4 linked regions of the Arabidopsis thaliana genome follow. The protein of the gene in region 4 purifies or fractionates together with the protein of the main gene of each other region. This does not show direct contact. Each region holds a gene or a part of one and is shown on either strand. Other genes may lie near its edges. The genes, in order: AT1G06030, AT1G50390, AT1G06020 and AT2G05830.

Evidence for each region.
Region 1: the proteins of AT2G05830 (region 4) and AT1G06030 fractionate together in Arabidopsis thaliana (co-fractionation; one large-scale study listed by BioGRID). This does not show direct contact.
Region 2: the proteins of AT2G05830 (region 4) and AT1G50390 fractionate together in Arabidopsis thaliana (co-fractionation; one large-scale study listed by BioGRID). This does not show direct contact.
Region 3: the proteins of AT2G05830 (region 4) and AT1G06020 fractionate together in Arabidopsis thaliana (co-fractionation; one large-scale study listed by BioGRID). This does not show direct contact.

The regions. Positions count from the first base shown.
Region 1 is NC_003070.9:1,824,889-1,828,843, reverse strand, and holds AT1G06030 (pfkB-like carbohydrate kinase family protein), read right to left. Parts: upstream 2,042-3,955; 5' UTR 1,965-2,041; coding exon 1,560-1,964; intron 1,471-1,559; coding exon 1,138-1,470; intron 1,047-1,137; coding exon 930-1,046; intron 849-929; coding exon 714-848; 3' UTR 565-713; downstream 1-564. Other genes in the region: STO (B-box zinc finger family protein), read left to right, coding at 1-182; AT1G06020 (pfkB-like carbohydrate kinase family protein), read right to left, coding at 2,743-2,928, 3,003-3,119, 3,198-3,530, 3,895-3,955. UniProt on the Arabidopsis thaliana protein: May play an important role in maintaining the flux of carbon towards starch formation.
Region 2 is NC_003070.9:18,666,422-18,669,359, forward strand, and holds AT1G50390 (pfkB-like carbohydrate kinase family protein), read right to left. Parts: upstream 1,257-2,938; coding exon 1,119-1,256; intron 1,032-1,118; coding exon 984-1,031; intron 896-983; coding exon 779-895; intron 703-778; coding exon 565-702; downstream 1-564. Other genes in the region: AT1G50400 (Eukaryotic porin family protein), read left to right, coding at 1,734-1,860, 2,145-2,226, 2,309-2,414, 2,497-2,592, 2,687-2,737, 2,819-2,884. UniProt on the Arabidopsis thaliana protein: May play an important role in maintaining the flux of carbon towards starch formation.
Region 3 is NC_003070.9:1,822,505-1,826,663, reverse strand, and holds AT1G06020 (pfkB-like carbohydrate kinase family protein), read right to left. Parts: upstream 2,415-4,159; 5' UTR 2,117-2,414; coding exon 1,715-2,116; intron 1,351-1,714; coding exon 1,018-1,350; intron 940-1,017; coding exon 823-939; intron 749-822; coding exon 563-748; 3' UTR 501-562; downstream 1-500. Other genes in the region: AT1G06010 (basic leucine zipper/W2 domain protein), read right to left, coding at 2,994-3,166, 3,254-3,317. UniProt on the Arabidopsis thaliana protein: May play an important role in maintaining the flux of carbon towards starch formation.
Region 4 is NC_003071.7:2,227,612-2,232,673, reverse strand, and holds AT2G05830 (NagB/RpiA/CoA transferase-like superfamily protein), read right to left. Parts: upstream 3,136-5,062; 5' UTR 2,916-3,135; coding exon 2,844-2,915; exon of another isoform or gene 2,764-2,843; coding exon 2,708-2,763; intron 2,634-2,707; coding exon 2,475-2,633; intron 2,392-2,474; coding exon 2,292-2,391; intron 2,207-2,291; coding exon 2,064-2,206; intron 1,874-2,063; coding exon 1,768-1,873; intron 1,499-1,767; coding exon 1,360-1,498; intron 1,265-1,359; coding exon 996-1,264; intron 916-995; coding exon 835-915; 3' UTR 525-834; downstream 1-524. UniProt on the Arabidopsis thaliana protein: Catalyzes the interconversion of methylthioribose-1-phosphate (MTR-1-P) into methylthioribulose-1-phosphate (MTRu-1-P).

The sequences.
Region 1 (3,955 bases), on a different chromosome or scaffold from region 4:
GTGATCAGATTAATGACAAGGCTCTTCCTGCAGCTGAAGTTCCTGAGCTTTCTGTTTCGCATTTAGGTCATGTTCATTCATACAAACCTATGAAGTCAAATGTTTCACACAAGAAGCCGAGGTTTGAGACCAGATATGATGATGATGATGAGGAACACTTCATTGTCCCTGATCTTGGCTAAAAAGCTATATGTAATCTATGTGTAGACATTCTTCAATGTAAAAGAACAAACAAGAAACCTATCTGCATGTGTGGAGTTAATGTCATATACATTTTAGTTTTGTCTTAAGTTGTGTAAGATATGTTGAGAGCTTATAACAAATGTCTGTGTTTGAGTTTTGTTCATACCTCTTGAACATGGTCTATGCTTAATGCTTTGATGCTACAAACTTGATACTAAATGTGTTCTCTCTGTTCTTTCTTGGTTTTTTTTTGTTTGTTCCTGATTATTACTCTGTTTTCAAAGCCTTGAGAAACAATCCTCAATGCAATTTACGGTTCCAAACAACTACGAAAAACTCTTTGTTTTCTATTAGCAAGAAAAGCTCAGAAGTCACAAGTCTGTTTTATTCAATACAATGAAGAAGAAAAAGAAAAGACAGAGAGAGAACCAAAAAAAAAAAACATTACAAATGATCAGAATCATCAGGAAGAATCCAGAACAGATTATTACAATAGACAAGGAGAATTCTGGACTCGAAGAGAAGTTTTACTATTCTACTTGTATCTTAAGAAAACTGAGAGCTTCACAATCTGTAGGAAGAGCTGGAATGGCTCCCTTTTTAGTCGTCGTGATTGCTCCACAAGCGTTTGCAAATCTCAGCACTTTTCTCAATCTCTCTTCCTCCTAAGAAACGAGAAAAATCAGTAAATATCATCAACAATATTCAGTTGATTGAATAGACACACAATATCAATGGGAGTTAACCTCGAGTACAGATTGATCATCAACAATCTGGTTTAGAAGCGCGCCAACAAAAGAATCACCAGCTCCAGTAGTATCCACAGCGTCAACATGGAAAGTTTCAACAGATCCATGGAAATCCTACACAAGAGTCAAGAGAACATCAATCAAAATCACACACCAAGATCATCATGATGATGATGAATCCACATGAATGTTTGTTGTACATTACCTTAGTGTAGTAACGACATCCATTTTCGCCAAGTGTAACAAGCAAGAGCTTCAAATTAGGATGCCACAGAGACATAGCTGTCTCATCATCAATCGTTTTGTTTCCTGTCAAGAACTCAAGCTCGACGTCACTGACCTTAATAATGTCAGCCTTGTCCCAGATACTCATGATCTGTTTCCTAGCTTCTTCAGGGGATGGCCACAGAGGTTCCCTGAGGTTTGGATCGTAGGAAAGAAGAGCTCCAGCTTCTTTCGCCACCTCCATCGCCTTCATGTGAGCTGATCTACATGGCTCTGTAATCAAACTTATTGATCCATAGTGAAACACTTTCGCCTGCCAAATAAAGAAAAATATTCATCAAATCTCCAAAACAAGTAAAATCTTGAAATCTTGAAAACAGAGATCATAAAGATTTTACGTACGGATCTGATTAGTTCGAGGTTGAGTTCATCTGGCCGGAGAAGCATATCGGCGCTGGGATTCCGGTAAAACATAAACTCTCGTTCTCCGTCAGAACGCAGAGTCACAAAAGCGAGTGCGGTTCTTGCTCCTTTATCGAAATTGATCCCCTGATCGTCGACATCGTTCTTTCTCAAGATTCCGGCAAGCATATGGCCAAACTCATCGTCCCCGAGTTTTCCGACGAAGGCGGCGCGACCTCCGAGACGGGAAACAGCGATAGCGACGTTTGCTGGAGCACCACCAGGAGCTTTGAGAAATCCAGAGGATTCAGAGAGGGAGACGCCGGATTCCGTGGGCACGAAGTCAATGAGCATCTCGCCGAAGCTAACGACGAGACCTTTATTATCGCCGTTGGATGACGTCATTTGAACAAGATCGATTTTGTGTTCCAGAGATCGAAGAATGAAAACGATAGAGAGAATGAAGAGTGAACGAAGTTTTGAGTAGTTTATATAAGGCTCTAGGAGAGTGAAGACAGGGTTTAAATCTTGTTTTGAGGTCATATTTCTTCACATTAATGGCTTTTTATAAAGAAAAATGACAAATCATAAATAATTAAATCCTTGAAGGTTTGAAAAGTGGAATATATAAGTTTATTTAGAAATTCCAGTTATACTATATCCTGATTTCAGATATATTAACATTTGAGCAAAAAAAAATTCTATCTGAATATCATTTTTTCCATAATTGTAGTTGATAAAATTCTTAATAATTAATGTATGGACTACCTTTTGAAACAAGAAATTTTAAAAGGTTCAATGAATTCAACGTTTCTATATGGTTATGAAACATTCCTATATGGTTGATCATGGCAATTAAAACATTTGGATAGTTGATGAACACAACACTCTTAAATTTAATTCAAATTATATGGATTCGTCTATATATCTATGAATACACCAACAAATTTTTGATATAATGGATTAGATGGATTCGTCTATATATCTATGACTAACAAAAAGGAAAATTTGGTGGAGCAGCAAATATGAAATAACAGTTCTTTGACTTTTACATTCGGCATTGGTTCAATTCCACTTTCGCATAAACTTAGGTCTCTTAAATCTGATTTAAAAAAAAAACTGTGGGATCTTTTATTTCAAATAAGACTTATCAGCTTGGATCTAAACTCACACAAAATCAAAATTAACAAGGAGAAGCCGTACAACACCATTTTGAGAATTTAAGATTGGTTTGACGTTTCTTTTGGTCTTTAAGAAAACTGAGAGCTTCAATGTCTGTAGGAAGAGCTGGAATGGCTCCTTTTTTAGTTGTTGTGATGGCTCCACAAGCGTTTGCAAATCTCAGCACTTTTCTCAACCTCGCTTCATCCTAAAGAAAAAAAGATATCATCAGTAAATCGCATTTTGATCAACTAAGGAAGATTCATTCAGTTGAGTACCCACCTCGAGTACGGACTGGTCATCAACAATCTGTTGTAGAAGTGCACCAACAAACGAATCTCCAGCTCCGGTAGTATCCACGGCGTCCACATGGAATGTTTCTACCGATCCATGGAATTTCTACACAAGTGTTTTTGTCCCAATCAAGACTTGCAAAAGTAGTTTCTTTATTAACAAGTAATCGAAAAAGATGTTTACCTTTGTGAAATAAGTACATCCCTTTTCGCCGAGAGTAACAAGCAAGAGCTTAAGGTTGGGATGCCATAGAGACATTGCTGTCTTATCATCCATGGTTTTGTTTTCGGTCAAGAATTCAAGCTCCACGTCACTGACCTTAATGATGTCAGCCTTGTCCCAGATACTCATGATCTGTGTCCTAGCTTCTTCAGGTGATGGCCAAAGAGGTTCCCTGAGGTTTGGATCGTAGGAAAGAAGAGCTCCAGCTTCTTTCGCCACTTCCATTGCCTTCATGTGAGCTGATCTACATGGCTCTGTTATCAAACTTATTGATCCATAGTGGAACACTTTCGCCTGCACAAACAAATAAAATTTATATCAAATCGTATTTTTATTCAAATAAAGTCATAGCTTCATAACCTTCAACATCTTTTTTTTAATATTCATTTGTTAACCGTAAAAGGAAAGATTGGTTTGCAATTTACAAAATTTTATTAATTAACGCCTTGTATTGATTTAATTATCACCTTTCTTTGATTTACGTTTCAAATTATAAGAGTAAAATTAGGGTTAAAATTACACATGGCATATTATTACCGAAGGAAATTTATAAAATTGCGTGTTTTAGAAATTAAAAAACCTTGTAAGAGAAAAATGTAATAAATAAAAAGATAGAACGAGTAACAATCTTGAAAACAAAGAGAAAGATTTTACGTACGGATCTGATAAGTTCAAGATTCAGTTCATCTGGCCGGAGAAGCATATCGGCGCTGGGATTC
Region 2 (2,938 bases), on a different chromosome or scaffold from region 4:
TACAGTGTAAATTAGAACTCCAGTATTGCAGACCAATAAGTTTATGACTTGATCGTCAAGCATTTTACATATTCTTTTTCTTTTTTGTTCGCGTTGCTAAAGACTTAAAAGAGCAAATCAAAAATCTTCAAGTTCACACAATCAATTTATCTATTTGACAATAAGAAAAAGTAATTTTTAATAGTAATAATATACTCAAATTAATCTGTGAGATCTATATGCTTAATGCTTTGATGCTACAAACTTGATACTAAATGTGTTCTCTCTGTTTTTCTTGTTTTTTTTTTGGTTTCTTCATGATTATTACTCTGTTTTCAAAGGCTTGAGAAACAATTCTAAATGCAATCTACGGTTCCAAACAACTACGAAAAACTATTTGTTTTCTATTAGCAAGAAAAGCTCAGAAGCCATAAGTTTGTTTTATTCAATACAATGAAGAAGAAAAAGAAAAGACAGAGAGAGAACCAAAAAAAAAAAAACATTACAAATGATCAGAATCATCAGGAAGAATCCAGAACAGATTATTACAATAGACAAGGAGAATTCTAGACTCGAAGATAAGTTTTACTGTTCTACTTGTCTCTTAAGAAAGCTGAGAGCTTCACAATCTGTAGGAAGAGCAGGAATGGCTCCCTTTTTAGTCGTCGTGATTGCTCCACAAGCATTTGCAATTCTAAGCACTTTTCTCAATCTCTCTTCCTCCTAGGAAAATAAAAATCAGTAAATATCATCAAGATTCATTTGATTAAGTAGACACACAATATCAATGGGAGTTAACCTCGAGTACAGATTGATCATCAACAATCTGGTTTAGAAGCGCGCCAACAAAAGAATCACCAGCTCCAGTAGTATCCACAGCGTCAACATGGAAAGTTTCAACAGATCCATGGAAATCCTACACAAGAGTCAAGAGAACATCAATCAAAATCACACACCAAGATCTTGATAATGATGGATTCATATGAATGTTTGTGGTACATTACCTTAGTGTAGTAACGACATCCCTTTTCACCGAGAGTAACAAGTAAGAGCTTCAAATTAGGATGTCAAAGAGACATAGCTGTCTCATCATCGATCGTTTTATTTCTTGTCAAGAACTCAAGCTCGACATCACTGACCTTAATGATATCAGCCTTGTCCCATATGCTCATGATCTGAGTCCTAGCTTCTTCAGGTGATGGCCAAAGAGGTTCCCTGAGATTTGGATCGTAGGAAAGAAGAGCTCCGGCTTCTTTCGCCTCTTCCGTTGCCTTCATGTGAGCTGATCTACATGGCTCTGTTATCAAACTTATTGATCCATAGTGAAACACTTTCGCCTGCCAAATAAAGAAAAATATGCAACAAATCTCCAAAACAAGTAAATCTTGTTTTGGAGATTTGTTGACTATTTGATGATCTTCTTAATTGTTTTGTAAATTTTAGTTTACTATATGAAAATAAACTTGTAATTAATATAATTACTGATTTTTCGCCACCAAAAGAAAATAAAATAGTGAATTATGAGCATGAGGGTAAACCGGTAAAGTATATGACCCGAAATAGGTCGGTTCCAACCCGTTTCAAAAAAGTAAAATAAAACCGGGCCAAACTAAGATTGACACGATTACAAAACCCTTGACGCACACGCAGAGTCAAAACCCAAAAACCCTTGAAAGACTCTTCGTCTTCGATTCCTCTGCAGTTTTCTCTTTTAGCGACCCAAAAAAGTTCTTCCTTGACGGTAAACAGCAGCGATGGAGGGCTTTTCACCACCGATTAACACTGCGCAAGTCGATGCAAAGACCAAACTTGACGAGAAAGTGGATTACTCAAACCTCCCTTGCCCTGTCCTCTATGAGGAACTCAACCGTGAAGCTACCAGTTCAGTATCACCCTCTCTCTCTACTGCTTTATATATTCGTTCTCTGTTCTTTTGGAGATCACAATCTGTCTCTGTCTTAGGTCGCTGATTTCTTGGTCTTTTATATCTCTGCGTTTGAACCAACAATCGTAATTGAGTGTTTTGGTATTATGGATATGTTATTATGCTTCTGATTCTACCAATTCGTAACCTTTACATCTGTGGCCATAACCTTTTATAATGTATTAACTTAGCCTGTGATTTTAAGATCATGTGTTTTGACTGGTTTGATTTCACTTTGCAGTGGCTTTAAAGCCAGAGCTATTTGAGGGTTTCCGCCTCGACTATAACAAGTCGCTTAACCAGAAGTTTTTTCTCAGCCATAGGTAATGAGATTTTAGGTTAATTTGTGGCACATCATTCTTATTTGTGTTCTTAACCAAGCCTGTGTATTGATGCTTCCAACAGCATATTGATGGGGCCAACTGAGGTTCCTAATCCAACTCCATCATCCGAAATAATCAAAATTCCAACTGCCAATTATGACTTTGGTGCTGGTTTCATCGATCCAAAGGTATGTTGTTTATTGATTGTATTCTGTGGTACTATTAATGGTTTCCATCAGCAAGATATAACATTTACAAACTTCTAAACAGCTATATCTTATCGGAAGGATCACGACGGACGGTAGACTAAATGCGAGAGCCAAGTTCGATTTAACTGACAATTTTTCCGTCAAGGCTAATGCTCTGGTAACCAGAAATTATTGTGTGTCTGGTCTTTGTTGTAGTAGCTGCATAATGTTTTCTTTCTATCTATAACCATATTGTTTCTTTTCTCTGCCAGCTGACAGATGAAGAAGATAAGTCGCAAGGCCACCTCGTCATTGATTACAAGGTGAGGGCTTTTCTCTGTTCAGTATGTTTTTCCTTTTAGCTTTTATTTGGTTTTGACAATTCACGGTTTACACCTATTTAGGGGTCTGACTACAGAACTCAGCTTCAGCTTGGAAACAATTCCGTTTATGCAGCTAACTATATTCAGGTAAAGTGACTATGCTTTACCATTTTAAACTGTTCTACTAAAATTCTGTGGTTA
Region 3 (4,159 bases), on a different chromosome or scaffold from region 4:
GAATATATAAGTTTATTTAGAAATTCCAGTTATACTATATCCTGATTTCAGATATATTAACATTTGAGCAAAAAAAAATTCTATCTGAATATCATTTTTTCCATAATTGTAGTTGATAAAATTCTTAATAATTAATGTATGGACTACCTTTTGAAACAAGAAATTTTAAAAGGTTCAATGAATTCAACGTTTCTATATGGTTATGAAACATTCCTATATGGTTGATCATGGCAATTAAAACATTTGGATAGTTGATGAACACAACACTCTTAAATTTAATTCAAATTATATGGATTCGTCTATATATCTATGAATACACCAACAAATTTTTGATATAATGGATTAGATGGATTCGTCTATATATCTATGACTAACAAAAAGGAAAATTTGGTGGAGCAGCAAATATGAAATAACAGTTCTTTGACTTTTACATTCGGCATTGGTTCAATTCCACTTTCGCATAAACTTAGGTCTCTTAAATCTGATTTAAAAAAAAAACTGTGGGATCTTTTATTTCAAATAAGACTTATCAGCTTGGATCTAAACTCACACAAAATCAAAATTAACAAGGAGAAGCCGTACAACACCATTTTGAGAATTTAAGATTGGTTTGACGTTTCTTTTGGTCTTTAAGAAAACTGAGAGCTTCAATGTCTGTAGGAAGAGCTGGAATGGCTCCTTTTTTAGTTGTTGTGATGGCTCCACAAGCGTTTGCAAATCTCAGCACTTTTCTCAACCTCGCTTCATCCTAAAGAAAAAAAGATATCATCAGTAAATCGCATTTTGATCAACTAAGGAAGATTCATTCAGTTGAGTACCCACCTCGAGTACGGACTGGTCATCAACAATCTGTTGTAGAAGTGCACCAACAAACGAATCTCCAGCTCCGGTAGTATCCACGGCGTCCACATGGAATGTTTCTACCGATCCATGGAATTTCTACACAAGTGTTTTTGTCCCAATCAAGACTTGCAAAAGTAGTTTCTTTATTAACAAGTAATCGAAAAAGATGTTTACCTTTGTGAAATAAGTACATCCCTTTTCGCCGAGAGTAACAAGCAAGAGCTTAAGGTTGGGATGCCATAGAGACATTGCTGTCTTATCATCCATGGTTTTGTTTTCGGTCAAGAATTCAAGCTCCACGTCACTGACCTTAATGATGTCAGCCTTGTCCCAGATACTCATGATCTGTGTCCTAGCTTCTTCAGGTGATGGCCAAAGAGGTTCCCTGAGGTTTGGATCGTAGGAAAGAAGAGCTCCAGCTTCTTTCGCCACTTCCATTGCCTTCATGTGAGCTGATCTACATGGCTCTGTTATCAAACTTATTGATCCATAGTGGAACACTTTCGCCTGCACAAACAAATAAAATTTATATCAAATCGTATTTTTATTCAAATAAAGTCATAGCTTCATAACCTTCAACATCTTTTTTTTAATATTCATTTGTTAACCGTAAAAGGAAAGATTGGTTTGCAATTTACAAAATTTTATTAATTAACGCCTTGTATTGATTTAATTATCACCTTTCTTTGATTTACGTTTCAAATTATAAGAGTAAAATTAGGGTTAAAATTACACATGGCATATTATTACCGAAGGAAATTTATAAAATTGCGTGTTTTAGAAATTAAAAAACCTTGTAAGAGAAAAATGTAATAAATAAAAAGATAGAACGAGTAACAATCTTGAAAACAAAGAGAAAGATTTTACGTACGGATCTGATAAGTTCAAGATTCAGTTCATCTGGCCGGAGAAGCATATCGGCGCTGGGATTCCGGTAAAACATAAACTCTCGTTCTCCGTCAGAACGCAAAGTGACAAAAGCGAGTGCAGTTCTCGCCCCTTCGTCGAAATTGATCCCCTGATCGTCGACACCGTTCTTTCTCAAGATTCCGGCGAGCATATGACCGAAATCATCGTCTCCCAGCTTCCCAACGAAGGCGGCACGACCTCCAAGACGTGAAACAGCGATGGCGACGTTGGCCGGAGCACCGCCGGGAGCTTTGAGAAATCCGGGGGATTCGGAGAGGGAGACGCCGGATACGGTAGGGACGAAGTCAATGAGCATCTCGCCGAAGCTCACGATGAGACCTTTCTCGCCGGTGGATGATGCCATTCGAACAAGATCGATTTTCCGTTCGAAAAATGAAAATGATAAGAGAGTATAAAAATGAACGAAGTATGGACTATGGAGTAGGTTTTTATATAATAAAGGCTCAAATGGTTTTTAATCCTTTGAAGTCACATAATAAACAAGTCAATCCTTGAAGATATGTTTGAACTGAAACGTGGAATATCCAAGTTTATGGAAATTCCAGGTAGACTATATTTTGAATTTCTGATTTATTACCATTCCAGCAAAAATTCTTGTATCTGATTTTCATTTGTTCCATAATTGTAGTGATACGCCTACCAAAAAAAAAAAAAAAATGTAGTGATACAGCTTTACAGGTTCAATTGAATTCAACATTTCTACATTGATCATGGAATTTCGAACTTTGAATATATAGTGGATAAGAACAAAGCACTCTTAAATATCTATTCTCTCACTCAGTTTTTGACCTAAAATTCATGTCTCAGTATTGTAAAGTTTGTTTACCACCAAATTAAAAAAGTTTGTTTACCACCAAAAAATGATTATAAGTCATATGTAACACAGACCGAACTAAATAAAGTTGATGCCTTTTGGTAGCCTTGATTAGCATAGAACATAAGAAGAGAAAAGAAAATTTCGCTTAGCAACTTTATCATATATCATCCTTGCAAGGGAAAATATTCACACACGAAAAAACTGCTAGACACTCCTCATCAAGCTTCCTGAGCAATTCACTTTTCAAGTTTTATTTTCCTAGACACATCTAGAGACTAGCATCATCTACTCATATTCGGAAACTATTACCAAAACCATTAAAACATGTTTCATCACCTTCATGGAGAGCTGAAAAAGGAAGAGAAGAAAAGGAAGACAACACTAGAACCAGGCTCTTCTTTCTTTAAAGCTTTTCTGCAATCTCTCGATCCGACTCAGGCAAAACTGTTTCATCCATTAAGACGGAAGAATCACCTGCACTTCCGTTCTGGTTTTCTTTTGGTGCTTGTTCCTGGTTCTGGTTCATCATTGTTTGCATATCCTGCATTCTTGTGCGGACAACACTTGTCACCAATACTGCAAACCAGTAGAAGACTAGTCAGTATTAACACATACATATGATCTCATGACGAAATTCAGTGAATGTCAGAAAGAGAATCATACTAGCAGCAGTGCCGATAGTCCATACCCAGAGGATCTTCAAACCAGGGCTCTTCTCTCTTCCCATTTCCTAGCATCACAAATTCATCCCAATTTTTTTAGCAGAGTGACAAACTAAAACCAGACTACAGTTTGGCTAACCAGTGATCAGAAACCTAGACCAATTATCAAGATTTTGTTTCTTGTGACGAATCTAAACTAAACAAGAAGAATCATTCAATCAATAGATGGGGATTATTTGGTGGTTCCCTCATTGATTTCGATACAAAATAGTGAGAAAAAATGGTTTACTAGAGATCAAAATGCAGTAAGCAGAAACTGATTATAAGACATAACTGCAGAAAAAAGGGGTTTAGAGATTGCATAAACATCTCCCACCAGAATTTACACCACAAATTAATCGAATCCTAATTATAACAATCTCGTAAGACTCTAATCCCAACACATAGAGCCTCAAAAACTCGGGTTTCAGATAAACGAGAAACAAAATTACAAAACCCAGCTGATTTGAAACCGAACCCTAATTCTCTCAATACAGAGTTTCAGTAACTGTAATTGGCGATTAAAGTTTACAAAATCGAAAACCGATTGCTACTTTCGTTAACTCTAAAATGAGAACTGCTTGTGTTAAGCAAATCGACAAGCCAATGTAGTTCCCTTAACAAATTTTGAGACGGAAAAAGATCCAGAGAAAGAATCAGACAAGTATAGAGAGATATAAAAACGATACCTTTCACGATTCAAAGAAAGACCCAGAGGAGAGCTTGAAAGCGGTGAAGAACCCAGCGAGCGAAATGTCAAATGAAAGAGAGAGACCCGGAAGAAGAATACTCTATCTGGTTTTATTAGAACCGGGTTATTTAAACCGGTATCATAAACCCGAATTAAACCAACCTATCATTTGATTTC
Region 4 (5,062 bases):
TTTGGTGGAAAATTTGCAGAATTACGTTTTTCCGTCAAAATCGTAAAATCGGAGAATTGTATTTTTCCCGTCAAAACCGTAAAATTTAAAAATTGCGTATTCCAGAAAATTGTGGAATACTATCTTTCCTTTAAAATCGTAAATAATTTAATAAGAAATAATTCATTAAAATTTAAAATTTTCAGAAAAGTAAAAACTTATAAATGTAAAATATATTATTTAAAAATTATTTAGTTGTAATTGTAATTAAAATTATAAAAATACAATTAAATGAAGACATGTCTATTGACTCAATTCATGCCCATGGGCAGCCCGTTGTCCATATGGTCAAGCCCATATTATCCGTGGACAAAACTGGTCATATGCCCAATTAGACCATTTGTTTTTTGGTCCAGAATATAGCTCGTCCATATGCATTTGGTCTAAAGTTCAGAATTATCAAAAAATTGATAAAGTCGAGGCATTTCGAATTGTTTGTTGACACAGAACAAGGAAAACCTCTGAAATTATTTCAATATTGACGGGTAGGAGAAACGGTATTCTTTTCTTAAACTTAAAAAAATAGAGAAATAAGAACCAAGTCAAGATGGACCGGGCAAGCCCATGGACAAGTTGTTTTACACTAAAACAAGTTGTTTCCCAATCTTCATTAGCATTAAACCCAAGACCAGCATTTTGGCTACCTACAATTGGCTAAAACGTATCGATTATTTCTTATTTTTGACAATTTTTACCACAGTGTACTTAGTAGCTCAAACATTACAAAGTAATTTGCTTTGTTGCAAGTATATAGAGAGAGGGGAACATCCGCAAGTCGCAATGCTGACTCTAACTTCAACGAGATGAGTTTCCTGTTATCTTCTTGGCAAAGCTGCTTATGTCAAATGTATCATTGCCATTCTTTGTTATGACCCCCTGCATATACAAACACGTTGAGAGATTCAAATAAATGAGCATAAATATCTTCCAGAACAAGCAAGGCTGGAAAAACGAACTTTCTCGGTTATGATTCCTGCAATCAGCTCTGCTGGAGTCATATCAAAAGCTGGGTTCCAAACTGAGATCCCTGGTGCTGCAATGCGTTCACCAAGTCCTCCGTGTGTGTGCATCAACTCCTTTGGAGATCTTTCCTCTATCACGATTTCTTTCCCGGATGAAAGTGACAGATCAACTGAGGTAAGAGGTGCAGCAACATAAAATGGGATCCCGTGATGTTTTGCGCACAAGGCGAGACTGTAAGTCCCAATCTTGTTAGCAGTATCGCCTGGAGTATATCAATGAATTGGTTAAGAAGTGATTCAGTCATAAGGAATCAGATTTGTGAGAGAAAACGGATTTATCTAAGGTGTTTGAGTGTACCATTTGAAGCCACACGATCAGCTCCAACGATGACACCATCAACACGACCATCTTTCATCAGTGCAGCTGCAGCTGAGTCTGCAATGAGAGTTGCAGGGATTTTCTCATGCACCAACTCAAACGCTGTAAGCCTCGATCCCTGTCAATTGCCATTTAGTCATAAATTCAAAAGACTTTCAACAACAGTTCAACAAGATATGAAAACTCTATAAAGCAATGGATTCAGGGAGCTGCCACAAGAAGTATCTGTCCTACGTTCCTTCATGGTTTTGAAGCTTTTACCACCGTTTTGATAAGAACACATATGTCAATATAGAGGTAATTATCGTCCCTAACAACTTAAGGTATTCTACGGATTCTTCTTCTTACGATATTGAGAAAGAAAAAGTATTAATTTAGGAGTTTTACTTGATTAAATGGACGAGTTTCTGTGCAGTATGCTCTTTCTAAGATTCCTTGAGTATGGAGTGCACGGATGACACCGAGGGCAGTACCATATCCGGCGGTAGCAAGGCTACAAAGTCAATAGAACTCGTAGTTAATGCCTTACTAGGAATCTACCACATAAACATAACACCAAAAACCATTACACAACTCTATTGGTTGAAGCTGCATACACATATGTGGTAACATGCTATTACTCAACTTGAGTAACTTATGCAGACGGTATCTATGCAATTCAGAAAATCTAGCTAAATCAATACCTGCCAGTGTTGCAATGGGTCAAAACAGAAAGCTTATCAGGATTCTTGGCTTGTTGCCTCAACAAGCTTAAACCAAAGTTTCCTATAGCTTTGTTTGAAACAACATCATCTTCAAGCATATCCTCACTAGCTTCAATATATGCCTGAAGAACAACAAGCACAGAGAATGAGCTAAACTTACAAAAGCAAAAGGCACACACACAGATGAATTACGAAACTTCTTGATACCTTGAAAATGGATTTGGCTTCGGTGGCAGTAGCCAAGGCCTTTGCTATAACATGTTTAAGTTTCAAAGCAGCATCTGCAAGATTAACTGCTGTTGGACGGCTGAAGAAACAAACATAAAAAGCAAAAGACATTAGAGTAAGCACCAAAGATGCAAAACTTAACTAACAAATCCAAAATCTAACCTTGACACTAAATAATCCAACTTGTTCTCAAGAAAAGCAACAGCATCTGAAGCTGATCCATCAAAACCATGAAAGTTGAAAACTTCAACAGCCAAAGAAAGAGCAGCAGCAATAGCTATAGCAGGAGCACCACGTACAACCATTTCCTGAATAGCACTCCTACCAAAAGTATCAAACTTTTTAAACCACAATTTTCCCAAAACAATCTCTAATCATAAAGGTAAAGACTTTACCATCCATCTGAAGCATCACGAATCTCTAAGTAAATAGTCTCTAAAGGAAGCTTCCTCTGTTCCAATTCAGACGAGTAAACAGATTTGAGGAAAAAAAGTATAAATTTGAAAACTTTATAGAAGTGAAAGAGAGAACCTGATCGAGTAACTGGAGAGAGCCAGGCTTGTAACAGATAGCTTTGAGGGTCGTGTCTCCTTCGCCGGACATGGTAGGACTTGTTGGAGAAATCTTGAAGACGAATAAGTTGTTTTAAAGATTGGTTTAGAGAAAGAGGAACAAAAGGAAAAGGATTTGTGTCAGTAGTGATAGTGAGAATCAGATAGATGCCTAGAGCACCAAGCCGGCGTGAAACACACCAACCGACGTCGTTTTGTCTGGAATAATGGTAGATATATTTTAGTTAATTTAGGGCGTGAAACAAGCTGGTTTTAAACAAATTAAAAGTGATTATTGTTTATAGTTCTTTAGGAGCAGACTGCTTATCTACCTGTAACCTTTTTAGAACACATGTGCTTTTAAAATATTTTAAGAAACTAATAGTAGTTCTTTAAATTGTAATCACTTATTGTTGTGGGTTAATACTTTATGATTATCTAAATATCAGTTTTTAAATTTTAATTTAATTTTAAGATTACTAAAATATTATTTGATTATATATCATATATGATTTAATGTTATTTAAATTAATAATCCTCCCTTTAAAATTGATAGAAGTTTAATTTTATTATTACACCCAAAATAATTTTAATAGAATATAAATAAATAAATAAAATATATGTATTCATAATTTCGACATATTTTGGTCGGCAAAAACCATAAGGCATAGTGATATACTCAAACTTCATCAATTTTATTTCGGGTGCTTACAAAAAAAAAAACTTCATAAAATGTATAAGGTTCCTTTAACTAATATTTTTTTTTTCTTTCAATGCTTTGTCAAGCGTTTTTTCCTCGATATCAAAGCCGGATTCAGAGTATTCGATTTCACAAAACAAAATTGTCTTTGACAATATCTGATGTGGTGATGTGAAGTCCTAAAGTATTTTTTTCCTTGGAATCCTGTGTAGATTGTAGAGCAGACAATTGAAAAAAATTATTAGTTTTATCATATCTCATTCTAATTGAACCAGTAATGAAAACGAAAGTGACTACTTCTAAATTCTAATTTACAAAAAAAATGTATCATAAGAAATATCGTAAACGCCTACAAATAGGTTTCATTCCTATCGTTTCTCATGTTATGATTAAAAAATTAATCATAAGAGATATGGATATGAACTATATATCAAAATAATGGAAGTAAATAAAGAGAAATGAAAATTATTCAAAATTACTTATGAAAACAAACTTTGGAGAATTAGGCATGTTTTTTCTATCTTGTTTGCTACAAATGATTGGTGAATAAGAACTATATTCCCAGAAATTTTTGGGATACCTTTAATCTCTCGTGTCTGCAAAATAGTCGGCACAACAAATAAAAAATACCAGAAAATCAGAATTATTATTAGTTTATCAACAAACAAAAAACGTTTCGGAAGCATTTCGACAAACAGTTGGTAGACAAAACTTTTAGCACACGTATGAGATGGTTTTAAAATCATTCGAAAAGGGCCAACGAAGTCTTTTCAACTACATATCCTTGTGATTATATATTTTTAATTCACGGTAACCAATAAAAAAAGTTTAATGCATTTTTATGAGTAATGAAAAGAGTAATTTGACAAGTGAGAAGTTAGATGTCAAACTAAAAATAAGCATTTCTTTTAGCTCAGAAAGTAATCATCTATAGTAGAAAAAGGTTTTTTCTGAACAAACAAACTCACAATGTTGTCAAATTTTCCTTTTTTTCTTCTGAATTACATTATTTCAATTGCCAAACATAATAGAAATTCATTATTCTATTTAACCAGTAACCAAACACACCTAAATTTATTCTGTTACCTGAAAAACTTAAGCGGGACTGGTGCGGGTTTAGGTACAATAACTAAAAATATTTTGTATATGTTTTTAATTATAATTTATTTTTAATAACATAAATAAATTTAAAAATAAATGAATCATGGATGTGATCGCATTTTCGCTTCATTTCTCTGCTTTTATTAGGGCTTTGTTTCTTCGCTAGGCCTCTTTCATTTCGCATAGCCATCTCTCTCTCTTCTGCCTTTTTTGACTCATTGTTCCATTAACTCTTCTCGAGACACAAAACAAACATCAAATCAAGTTAATTAACAATAATCTCTTTTTCTATTGTAGATGAAGAAGAATGTATGATGAAACTCCTCTGTCAAAAAGTAAAAAAAAACAGAACACAAGGTAAAATTATCGAAATTGTTGGAGATTTTTTTTTGCTATGC